Linked DNA regions of Drosophila melanogaster. The protein of the gene in region 1 interacts with the protein of each later gene in a biochemical or structural test. Each region holds a gene or a part of one and is shown in the gene's direction. Other genes may lie near its edges. The genes, in order: Sik2 and Crtc.

What was found.
Region 2: of the proteins of Sik2 (region 1) and Crtc, one has a biochemical effect on the other in vitro, tested with the Drosophila melanogaster proteins (one study listed by BioGRID).

The regions. Positions count from the first base shown.
Region 1 is NC_004354.4:2,055,694-2,063,854, reverse strand, and holds the start of Sik2 (Salt-inducible kinase 2), read left to right. Parts: upstream 1-1,939; 5' UTR 1,940-2,233; intron 2,234-3,010; 5' UTR 3,011-3,141; coding exon 3,142-3,756; intron 3,757-3,826; coding exon 3,827-3,890; intron 3,891-4,093; coding exon 4,094-4,380; intron 4,381-4,436; coding exon 4,437-5,534; intron 5,535-5,589; coding exon 5,590-5,871; intron 5,872-5,931; coding exon 5,932-6,026; intron 6,027-6,087; coding exon 6,088-7,735; exon of another isoform or gene 7,736-7,744; intron 7,745-7,798; exon of another isoform or gene 7,799-7,829; coding exon 7,830-7,937; 3' UTR 7,938-8,161. Other genes in the region: CG4281 (uncharacterized protein), read left to right, coding at 1-908, 964-1,120.
Region 2 is NT_037436.4:17,666,023-17,670,833, reverse strand, and holds the start of Crtc (CREB-regulated transcription coactivator), read left to right. Parts: upstream 1-1,599; 5' UTR 1,600-2,727; intron 2,728-4,811.

The DNA.
Region 1 (8,161 bases):
ACCGATATTGATGCCTTGTTATTGAGTACGCCACCAGCTGCTCCGCTGCTGCGCAAAAAGGCGCAGGGGCAGGCGCCGGGACACAGCAGCAGTAGCTCATCCAAAACGGAACGTCGCCGCCGCTTCCAAACGTTTCCACAGCCTCAGCTGCAGCTCCAAGCTCAGTCAATGGATTGTAGCGAACTTTATGACTTCTTAAGCTCTAGTTCCCTGAGCTCGTCCACCGATAGCGAGGCGGAAGTAGGTGGTCATCGACGGCACGACACCGATCGCGAGGGCGACGATGAACTCACCGACTGGCCGGGAAACGAATTCGGACCCGGAGCCAGATACGATCCAAAAAGGAAGCTTACAAAAAAATCACTACTGCCTCAAATTCGCTCGGATGACACAATTGGAGAAGATGACACTCTTATGTCTGGCACCGAAGCGGGAGCGGTGGGTATGGAACCGCCTTCGAAGTCTCCAGTCCAACTTCCAGAATCTCTTCAGGATCTTTCCCGCTTCCAACCAGCCGGCGTCTCCGAGCCTATCGAGATTCAGAATGCCTGCTCAGAGATGGAAACAAATGCAGATGGCACCATGCCGGCTTCCCGCCAAATCGAGAGTGAGATGTCCGGCGAAACCTCTAATCCGTTTCTTTCCTCGTCGCCTCCTGGACACGCCCAGGGACAGGAAGTACGTGAGATACGAGCAGGGTGTCGCCGCATCAATGGCGAGCGTCCAGGATTCAGCATCAAGATGAGCGTCAATGAGCGCATCGCCCGATTTTTGCAGGATTCGCAACAGACACAGATCCGTTTGCCGGATATAGAGCTTTATGAGACCGATAGCATGAGTAATCTGGCCACGCTCTATTCACTTACCATGGTGGTAGAGCACGGATGTACAGTGCTCACCAAAACCGGGTAAGGATAAAGGGATACTTATTCAAAGTCTATAACTAAGTTGTTGCTCTTCCAGGAACACTACGCAGACGGTGAGCATGGATCATCTTCAACAAGGTCTGCAGCCGCGTGCAGATCTCTTTGGCGATTTTAAGCGGCGCTGCTACGGTGAGGAGGGAGAGGAGGAAGGAGAGCAGCAGCAGCCGCTTCAGCAAGATCCCGGCCAGATTTAGCCCCAGAAAGCAACACTATAATCCAAACAAGACCAATCCCTAGCAAATGCAAACGTACAGCCATCAGCACTCGAGGTGAAACTCTTGGCATACGCTTGCATTTCTAGGGTGGAAGAAACCCTTAATCTATGAATGCTTTTAGCTTGTTTTTGTGAAATCTGTTCCATGTACATAAGTTGCATCGGTCCGTGTATATACTAACTGACTTCGTTAGGGAATGGCGCCAGCAAGACGGATACCGGATCCCAGATCCCGTCGGTTTGGGCTCACGCTTGGAAGCGAGCGAGATGACACGTTTCAGAGACAGAGAGAGAGGACCGACCGAAAGCCGTCGGCAGCCGTTCCACTGTACAAAATATTTAATGTAAGACCTTCAGCGAATATGAATATAAGAAATATATATGTGTGGTCATATCCGGAATACATGTGGACTTCATTTTTACCTAGAATGTGGTGGATATTTTATATAAAAGAGCAACATCCCAATACAAATCAGTAGCAAAAGTATATCTGAGTATATCTGAAAAAAATTTGAAAATAGTTCAAACTCTTTCTGTTAGTTGTACCGGTCACTGTCTATCTGAAAGCTGAATCGGTGAAACGGGTTATATTGCATACTGTTTTACGATCAAAGGGCGCGAAATTCAAATGAATTCCATCAAACTTCCCACCCTCGCGAAAAAGTTGGCGCATGCTCGATGCTCGGCACTTGGCGCTCACTTGGCAACCCTCATGTGTGTGCTGGTGAGGGTCGGAAATTGAGGGGCGAGTGGGTGGAATGGGGCAGACAGCGCCGAGCTTGCGTCAAATACGGACGCCAGTTGGACGCAGCTCGGGATTGGAGGCAGCCACGTTTCCTAGCCATCTGCCGTGTGTGTCGCAGCGACTGTGTCTGTGTGTGCCGTGCTGTGCTGTTCCGAGCCGCATGTGTGGCGCTCCGCGGACGCGATGTAAAGCGGATCCTCGCCAGCGTTTATCCTCTCATAGCCAGTAACCGGATTCGGATTAAGCTGGCCCAGCCTGTAGCCTATTCTCAGTTTTTGCCACCGCTCCTGCTCGAAACTTCTTTGTCAACCGGCGAGGCTTGTGCTTTTAACGCTTTCACCAATAACGGTATTTTTGGGGAGAGCAGCTTTAAGGGGAAATCTCCTGGCAGTGGTTCTGAATCGGTTGCACTGCATCCTGAAGGAAACAACAGTGGCCACTGGCACCGCGGAGCATTTCCACGATGCGATGCGGTTGCTCTGCTTATTGATTTTTCACCAACACTCACCCACACACATACACTCGCACGCTGGCACCCACACACTTTCAGCCGCACACACAGTCAGTGCTGGCACCTCGGCCATTTTGTGGCTGGAAAAAAAGCCATTTTGAAAGCGGAAGTGCAGCGTCAGCCATTTTCGTTGAATGTCTTCCTTTTGGTGGGCACTAACAAATGGATCTGCATGTCTTTGAGGACCTCAGCTAATGGTTTTTAAAATATTTGTCTGTACCTGGTGCGCATATGCGATATGCGAGTGAAATAACACTATTATTATCGTGATAGATTAAATTTAAACGTGAATCCAGTTTACCATTGCAATTGAACTGTGGCAACACTGCCTGAGAAAGAGAGGGAGAGTGCAGCTTTGGTGGCTTGTGGAGTCCGCGTCCGAAAGCCATACACATACACACTCGGAAAGCCGAGGTAATCTCTTATCAAGCGACGACTGCCCACCCCTTCTCCGGAGTCATCCCGTTCTTTATTGCACTTACATATTTTCTATGCACATATATGTACATGGGGAACACACAACATTAGTCGCACATCCATTCAAAAAGTTTCAGTTCATTATTGTATTGTAATTCTACCCAAAATATACCACTCTACTTTTTCTATTCCCGCAGAAGCGCTGTCATGAGACAGGAGGTGTGTGTGAGCATGTGCATCACCATCTCGCTGTCGATCGCGATCTCCCACTCCCTCCGCCTCGCGCTCTCCGTGTGAGATTTCCCGCCCAGGGTGGCGCAGTTGGAAAATGAGCACGTGCGAGGCGGCGGCCGCTGGCGAGAATGGGAGCCAGGCCAAGTCCGAGGAGAGCCAGCCGCCGGAGGATCAGAAGAAGAAGCAGCCGCAGCATGAGAGGAACGAGAAGCAGCTGGATAAGCCGCCGGAGAATTTGCCCCAAAACGGGAAAACCGAAGCAAAAGGAGCAGAAGGAGCGTGTTCACACCCCCCACTGGATGCCCTCCGGAGCTCAGTGCTCCTGGATGCCGGTGCTGCTTCGCCCTCGATAGACGCAATAGTGGCTTGCAAGGATGCACTGCTCGCCCAGAAGCTCTTTGCCAGCGGGGGTGGCTCCACGCCCGGTCCCAGTCCCACATCCTCTGCGGTGGGCGCGGGCGGTATCAGTGGCAAGGACCTGCTCAAACTCAAGGAGCCCATGCGCGTGGGCTTCTACGACATCGAGCGCACCATTGGCAAGGGAAATTTTGCAGTGGTCAAGCTGGCCCGGCATCGAATCACCAAGAACGAGGTGGCTATCAAGATCATTGACAAGTCGCAGCTGGACCAGACAAACCTACAGAAAGTCTACCGCGAAGTGGAGATCATGAAGCGCCTGAAGCACCCTCACATCATTAAGCTCTACCAGGTCAGCAGAATTTGCTGTGGCAGATCCTGCCAAGAATCGTATTCCTAATCCCGTTCTACCAATCCCACAGGTTATGGAGACCAAGAATATGATCTACATAGTGTCGGAGTATGCCAGCCAAGGAGAGATCTTCGGTGGGTTGAGGCTTCATTTTAAAAAAAATTTTTTAAACTCGGACTGTAGAGTACAGTACTCGATTTAGTTAGCAGACTTTTGAACCCACATTGCGCACAGACTTGTTGACCTTTGGACGAACAACACTAGCTTTAAATCTCTCGCATTCTCTTAAGTTGATAAGGGTTTCAATGAGATGGACTTACCTTTATATTTTATCCAGATTACATTGCCAAGTACGGGCGGATGTCCGAGTCGGCGGCGCGCTTTAAGTTCTGGCAGATCATATCGGCGGTGGAGTACTGTCACAAGAAGGGCATAGTGCATCGGGATCTCAAGGCGGAGAACCTGCTCCTGGATTTGAACATGAACATCAAAATAGCGGATTTCGGGTTCTCCAATCACTTCAAGCCGGGAGAATTACTGGCCACCTGGTGCGGATCACCGCCGTACGCAGCTCCCGAGGTTTTCGAGGGAAAGCAATATACGGGTCCAGAGATTGATATTTGGGTAAGTGGTGCGAAGTATACGTGTCAATTTATCCAAAAATGTATAATTTCCTGCAGTCACTGGGCGTCGTGCTTTATGTGCTGGTATGTGGGGCCCTGCCCTTCGACGGATCCACGCTGCAGAGCCTCCGGGATCGGGTGCTTTCCGGTCGCTTTCGCATTCCGTTTTTTATGAGCTCCGAGTGCGAGCACCTCATTCGCCGGATGCTGGTACTGGAGCCCACAAGGCGGTACACCATCGACCAAATCAAACGCCATCGCTGGATGTGCCCCGAGCTGCTGGAGCACGTCCTGATAGCCAAGTACAATCTGGGCGCCGAGCGGCAGACGTCCGTGGAACCCAGCGAGGACATTCTTCGCATCATGGCCGAGTATGTCGGCATTGGGTCGGACAAGACGCGAGCCAGTCTTAAGAAGAACACTTACGACCATGTCGCGGCCATATATCTGCTCCTGCAGGATCGAGTTAGCCACAAGAAGGAGCAGAGCAACGGCTTAGGCGCCAGCGCCCTTGCCTCGTCGACCTCCGCCAGTCGGATGATCTACAGCTCCAGAAATGACCACCAACCGACGCAGCAACAATCGCAGCAGCAGTCCAAGACAATATCCACCAGCTCGATCCTGGCCAAGGATCAGTGCCACAAAAGACTTAGCCGCCATCAGACGGTACTCATGAGTGAGCGTAACGCCCACGCCGGCGCGACACCCACAGTTCCAGATCCCGGTCCCGGATACTACGCCAAGTATGGCCCACTGCAACTGCCACTGCCTCTGACGGGCCACTCCCACCTGACTGGGTATCTGAATGGAGGAGGCGTCGAGGTGGATGCCAGCGGCATTCCGCTGCCCATGCGGTACACCCCGCTGCCGACAGCCGCGTCGCCCGCTCCCTCTAACTGCTCATCCACATCCTCGAGGGTAGGACGACACAGTCTAAGCTCCAGCTCGCCGCGAAGCCATCGACCGGTGGCCATTTCGCTCAGCATCGACAACAACCCCTCGCTGGCCAACCTGCGGTGCAGGGAGATGATGGAGGCTGGAGGAGGACCCGTTGGAGCAGTGGGTGTGCCTCTAGCGTCCAAGCAGCTTCATCAGACCATCAGCGAGTTCATCATCAAACAGAGCACCGAAGACTGTCGTGCGCTGCTGCAGCAGGTGAGTTTTCGGCTGATTCTATCCCAAGTTATTTCTATCCTTATACTTTCGGCAGTCCACAGCAGTGGCTGAGGGTAAAGATGATCCGCCAAAGGCGGAATCAAGCGTAGGAGGCGTTCCTCCGCCCGCCTCTACCACACCCACATCCAGTACAGCGGGACCGGAATCGGGATCGGCTCCCTGCCCTGGTGAGATTAACGGCAAGACAATAAAGACTATGTCCAGCTCGAGCAGCTTCGATTCTAAGGCCAATTTGGGCCAAAGCTTTCGCTACAAGATGTCCGCCGAGGCCAGCAAGCTTTTCCAGACTCTCCAGGAAAGCCCACTGCCCGTGGAGGTGAGTGATACGTGTGAGTTAATAATTGCTTCCAGCTGACAAATTCCATTTCCTCTCCAGCAAAGGACTAAGCGTCGTGTGCACGTGGGCAGCACCAATGGCAGCGGCGGTGACTCCGGCCAGGAAACGAATGATGCGAAATCGAATGGCGACAGGTGAGTCTTGCAGTCACAGCGATAGTTTCTTGACTAATGTCGTTTTCTTCCGTTTCCGCAGCCGCTCGGAGAAGAAAGTTCTGGCCCAAGGCAGCTCCAGCACAGATGAGGGCTGCGAGACAGACCAGGGCAACGATCCGGGCTCTGCTTCCCAGGAGTCAAAGGGCAGCAATGGCGGCGGTAGCGGTAACGCCAACGGCGGACCCACCTCGCACTCCAGCAGCGATCTGACGCGGCTCGTTGGAACCACTACCTCTGGACAGAGTCACAAGATGCGCTCGTATGCCAGTAGTAGCTCGTCCAGTGGCGTTCTCGCCGGGAGCGCTGGTAGCTACTCCAAAAGTCTGAGCCAGAACCTGAGCCGCGGCTCGTCCAAGAGCAATTGCAGCGGTCCCTACGATAGCTTGGACTTTGCCTTGCCTTCTGGCAAGGGCAGTCTACCCTCGTGCATGGGCTCAAGTTCGATGCTGGCCACGCCCACTCCGGCCTCGGCATCGCCAGCGGGAATCTCATCGGAGCATTCATCGGAAAGATCGCTGTACGGGAGCCACAACTCCTGCATCCATATGCCAGGAGCTCTGCCGTTGGGCTTGGGCCTTCCTCAGAGTTCAGCCTCCACGCCCACGCCGAATCCTACGCCTCCGCCAAATGGCGGTGGTGTCACGTTCCTGGACAAGCGTTCACCCATACACTTTCGCGAAGGAAGACGGGCGAGTGATGGCCTGGTGGCCCAGGGCCTGCTTAGCTCTGGTTCCTTGCTGGGCACCAGTCGTGTGTACGGAAGTTATCGCTACGAGCAGGCCAAGCGTCACGGTTGGCTGGAGATCCAGCAGCTGCAGCAGCTGCAGCAGGAGGCGGCTGTGGGGCATTCACACCCACATGCCCATCAACATCCGCATCAGCATCCGCATCCTCATCCCCAAGCGTACGGCTTGGAAGAACTCTGTCAATTTCCAAATGGTCAATTCTATGCTCTGCCGGGCAAGCATCATCCGCTGCTGACTTTGCCCCATCATCATGCGCATCCTGCGCAGCATCACCATGGCCATCATTCGCTGTTCCATTCAGGCCACCAAGCCACACCTCTGCTCCTGGAAGCCGCTGCTGGTGGGGATATGTATGGTCATGGATGCTATGCTCCGCCACCGCCGCCACCAGGGCTATACACGCACCATCAGTTGGGCGTGGGTATGGCCGTGCCCATGTCCCCGATGCAAAAGCCACCGCTGCAGCAGCAGCTACTGCAGCACCGCCTGCTTCAGCAGAAGCGTCAGTTGTTCCAGAAGCAGTACGCACTGGAGGCGCAGCTAGCCGGTCGACATCACCACCATCAGCAGCACAGCCATCACCACCATCACCACTTTGGCCACAGCCTGGGTCCGCCACCGCCGCCGGCTCCGGCTCCGGAACATCACCTGGCCGACGAGTTGTACGAGTTGGCCTTGCTTGATCGGCCCAGGAGCGGAACTCCTAGGCTTCAGCACTCCATGACCATGCCCGGAGCTCATGCCTTCAGTCAGATGAACCTCAAGACTTCCTACATCAGCCAATCGGACCAGGTGCCTGGTGCGGCGCCTAATGGAGCTGGTTCCGGAGGATCAGCTGCTGGGGTATCATGCTCAGCTCCACCGTCCACGGCGCCGGGTACGCCCACGGTCAAGTGCAAGCCTACCACGCCCCACGGTCACAGCCTGGACTCCGACTATCATGTAAGTAAGCTAGATAACGCATATTAAGATGATTTCTCAGGCATCCCAAGTTCGTATATAAACCTTATCCGTTTTCTCCTTGTGTCCTCCGCAGACATCGACGCCGGTGCTCAGCCTTTTCACGCCCAATTGGCAGTCGCTGGTAAAGCCGCTCAGCGAGAGCCCCATCCTGGAGATATCGGAGCACCTTGAGTCAGTCTGAGGCCGTGTGTGATGTTATTCGGTGGAGGGGTTGGGGCAATTCGAATGGGAGTAGATTTGTAAGTGGAAGTCGGTGGGAAAGGAAAAGGGGTAGGACTGGACATCGAACTATAATGGGGGCTGGACCGGGACCGGGGCCACCTTTTTATTAAGCTCGCAATCGCAATTATGAATTATTTGATCCATATACGATATACACCCATACATACATATAAATAGCCTATA
Region 2 (4,811 bases), on another chromosome or scaffold:
AATCGGCTTAAGCCCACCCACTGGCGCCCACTAATTCATTTCAATAATTGAGCACCTTTTCGTGGCTGTTTTTTATGGGAGGAAGTGGGCTAGTGGGCGCTCTATTAGTTTTGACATTCATTTGACAGTTTGATGAATGAATTAAGCGCACAAAGGGCGCAAATATTTATGAAAGAATTTGGAATAAATGCACGAAACGAATGGTAACAGAGAAGTTTAAGGAACAAGGAAAAAGGCAAAAAAGGGGCAAATATTTTGAATAGGAATGAAAGAAAAAAAACAGGAAATGTTCTGAGAGATTTCTATCGCTTGCACACAATTTACCTAGTACCTCCTACTTCTTCCAACTTCTCGGCCTTATTCTTGGCCCTCATTTTTATTTCTCCATTTCCTTGTCGGCCCTTAAATGTCTTCGTAACCCCGAGGCCGCCAATTTGCTACCAATTCCTGCTTCAAGTGTCTGCGAGAAGAAAAATTTTCTCCATTCGCGGGAACGAAAGAGAAAAAGAGAGCGTTTGGCAGATTCGTATCGTGGAAAACAATTTTAAATGGCGCACACAAAATGCCGGAAACCAGACACAAAATGTTAACGGAAAGGGAAACAGACGTTTACACACACACACAACAGACACCCGCACGCACACACGCGAACGCAAAAGCCCATTTGAATGTGTTGGTTGATGCAATTTAAGCGCCCAAAAACGAAATCCAAATCATTTTTGATGATTTATCTTAGCTTCTAATGGGCATATTAAATTGCATTTCATTTTATATGATTGCTCCGCTCATTTAATATGATGGATTAAGAACTTTTGAATTTAATATACATTAATTACGCTTGCAGAATAACTAATGCAACCACACAATTTGCTTTGTCAAAGTCAACAAAACGGAGAGTTTGAGACAGCATATTAATAATAAAATTTGTGTATGCCTTTTTAATGTAAGTTATTTATTTCCATGGAATACAACACATATAATAAATGTAAATTATATAATTACTATTTAATTATATCAAATCAATATTTATTTTTAAAATTCCGTTGCGAATCTAAATTAGCGGAGACACCATACCATATATTGGACTAAATGACAAGACACCTTACCAAGCGACTAAAAGTGAGGACTCGAACCGATTGCACGGCGATTAACATCGAAACCCAAGATATAATATTTTCAAAAATATATTTCCCTTTAAAAAAACAAACGTTCTGTTTATTCTGTAAATATATATACCTTACATACAAATGCAGTAATCTGATTAATACTGACAATTGATAATTAACTTATGTTACATATCATATTGGTTTAGCCCACTTTATCTTTCATCAGTAAAAAGTAAACTTTGATTAGTTGTTACGCTCTTAGCTGTATTTTTTATTTAATATGATGCACTTAAAAAATGACTTGAATATCATATACGTGCATTTAAATAAAGTAGAAATGACAGCCCTGGCTTTAAATATCTGGTGGAAATTCCCACACATCACCTGTTCGCTGTTCAGCAATGTATTTTGTCTCAACCAAATTCTGGCCACACTGCATGGCTGCCAATTTCAAACTCGATAGCCGATATCTTCCTAGTATCGGAGAACGATGGCCCCGATAGGTTCATACCAATACACCTCCTGATATCGAAGAAGCAGAGGAAAATATGAGAAAAAGTGGAAAAATAACAAAACAAACGTGGAAAAAACGTTGAAAAAGGCGACGCGCAATTGCTGTACAAGTGCACGACTAACACGCGATTAAAACGGCGTGCGAGGAAAAGCGGAAAAACCACAGAACAAAGCGAAAAAGTGAAGAGCCATCACAGCGACGAAGATGAGCGAAGAAGAAGAAGCAAGGCAGCAGCAGCAGCAATAATAAGTTGTTCTCTGTGCGAGTGAGAGAGTGCAGCAGAGCAAAATAGGGGCATAAAAAACGCGAAATAAACGAAAATAAGAATACGAGATTGCTGCGGAGTGAGTGTGCACAACAGTAGAAGTCCCGTTGCCCGCAAAAATCCACAGTCCCGCGTGTCAGTGTGTGTGCGCGCGTGTGTCCGTGTGTTGGTGAGCTTTTCCATTGGTGTGCGAAAAACAAAAGCCAAAAAATCGGGGCAAAGAATATATAGAAATCAAGGAAATGCAATATAGAATCGGCCGACGCCGCCGCTTTTGCTGCGTGCTGTAATCCCAATTGGACACCCAATTAGAGGCACACTCGTCCGCCTAGCAGTGTGTGTGTGCGTGTGTCTGTGTGAAAAGAGGTCAAAGGCGCAACGAAAGTTTTTCACTTTTCATGCGGTAACCAAAAAAATAGCGCAAAAAGTGCCAACCAGCTGAGAGCGCAAAATAAAAAAAAAACAACGTCGCAGTTTTGCGTTAAAACAATAAACCTCTCGAAGTGTGCGTGCGCGTGCGGCTGTGTGTGTGTGTGTAAGAGCGAGTAGAAATAACACAAAAAAAACAATCAGTTGTTAAAATAATCCCCCAGCAAACCGATTTTTGGATTTAACAACTCTCGGCTCGCAAACAACTCAAAATCAAATCTGGTTTTATTAAGCGACGCAAAAAACACAAAAAAATAACGCAAAAGGTCATAACAATAACAACAAATAAAAAGCGCCAAAAACTTAATTCTTCTATATGAGATTTTAATCAAGCAAGAATCCAATTTGCATAGCACAAGAGCGACAGAGAGAGCAAGAGATCCAATCGGAGTTAGCGGCGAACGAGAGAGAATGTAAGTTACGCCCTCGCCCGCCCCCTCTTTGCAGTTCGTTTTGTTTTTGCCGCCTCTTTGCTTCACACACGTTTCTGCAAATCGCTTTCCCCCTCCCTCTTAGTTTTCTTTTCAACTGTTGCGGTTGCGCCGCGCGATAAATAAACAAACATCGAAATTATTCAAAAATTCCAAGGAACGCGAGTGGCTATAAAAAAAACTGCTGATAAGGGTTTCCCAGGAGTGTCTCCCCGTGTCGAGGGGAGAATGATAATGGGAGAGAGATATGGAAGGATAAGTGGGGAGAAGAAGGAACAACGAGAGAACAAATGGGCCATTCACACTCAAAAATTGGCACGGAAAGAAAAAATAACTTACTTTTTGTTTCGAAATATGCTGACCAATATAATAATAATTCCATAAAATTATAACATTTTATTTTGAGACCTTTAATTGTGCTTAACAAGCCAAAGATATATTTCATTAAATACCATTATTTTTAAAGTTTTATGTTCGTAAATTAACAAAATTATAATTAATTTGTATTCAACGTGAATAAGTGGGGCTTTACAAAGTATAGTATTGTTTATCTGTTCTTATCAAAAAATTAACAAAATTATAATTCATTTGTATTCAACATGAATAAATGTGACTTTACAAATTATAGTATTTGTTTATCTGTTCTTATCGATTAAATATACAGCTGTTTTTTCCTGTGGTAAATGACCACCATTTTTATCGGCCGCAATATATTAAATAATTATTAAATGTCATTATCGATTCGTGGGAATATTTCCGCTTTGCCCAACAGCACCCCTCCCTTTGATTGCCTACCCCCTAAAAAAAAGTCCAGTCCCTCCCAAAAAGTAAAGTAATATCTACCTTTGTTTAGTTTGAGGCGTGCTCGGCCTTTTTATGGCCGCAATTGCCGGCTCGTCCAAAAGTGTGAGCCGCATTTAAATCTCTTTGCTCCTGCATCGCGTTTTAGCCATAATGGGCCTTACACTTCCGATATCTGCTTGGATTAGTCATCGCATAGGGTTCTACAGAGATATAGAGATGGTCACGAAGTGGGACTCATTTGAATGAGAATGGGGGTATCTCATTTGGATATTGATAAGCAAACTATGGGTACATTTTTATCCGTACAAGGATACATATACAACTTGAATAGCTGATTCTGAACTTTTCAGACGTTCTAAACGCCTTTCAAGTCACAAGTTTTCAAGAAATAACATGATTACTCAATATGTTTATTTCGCAAATAATTTAACGATTTGCCTTAAAGTAAAGTAAAAGACTAAACTTTCTGAGTATATCACTAAGCGAAGTTTTCGCACATAAAATAAATATGAAGTTACGATATATAAAATGAGTAAGCATTTAGCTGGAATTAACACGTCGACAACAACCAACCAACACTTGAGTATTTTCTTTGCAAAATATTTTAACTCAAACGTTAGTTCCAAGAATCCCCGGGCAAACAAATCAAAATGATAAATTAGAATTAAAGAGAAATCTGCGTTAAAAGTTATGCATTGGATACAGCTAAGGTATGGTTTCTCAATAAGGAATTACCTCAATCGATTTAATTGAGCCATTCTTTTCTCCGCCTAAAAGAGAAATCGATAAGGTTAAATTAGCTAATGGTGGAAACTAATGAGGTTTTGAAGAAGGGTAGGAGTTAATAAGTAATACTTGAGCAGTTGGGAATGTCTTGAGAAAGTACTAAATTTCCCAGCTTTTATAGCAATCAATGTGGTAGTGAGTAATGCCAGTGACATTCAAAAATATTTCCCGCAATTATGAGCAATTCAATTCAATTCGATAAAGTTAAAATCTCTGTAATCCTTATTTTATAAATATGTTGTCATTCCATTAAATTCAATTTGGCTGTTTCTTAACTAAGTATATTTACAATCTGCTTGGCAACAAATACTTTTCGATAAAATATCTGTAAATACGTTTTGATTCTCTCCGAATGATAAGGAGTAACTTTTGTTTTTAGCTCGCTGAGATTGTTTTTTGAGCTGTTATTGGTCACCAGTTCGCGAGTAGTATCATCATCATAATTGATCGGAACTCATCGAAAAGATGACAAAAGC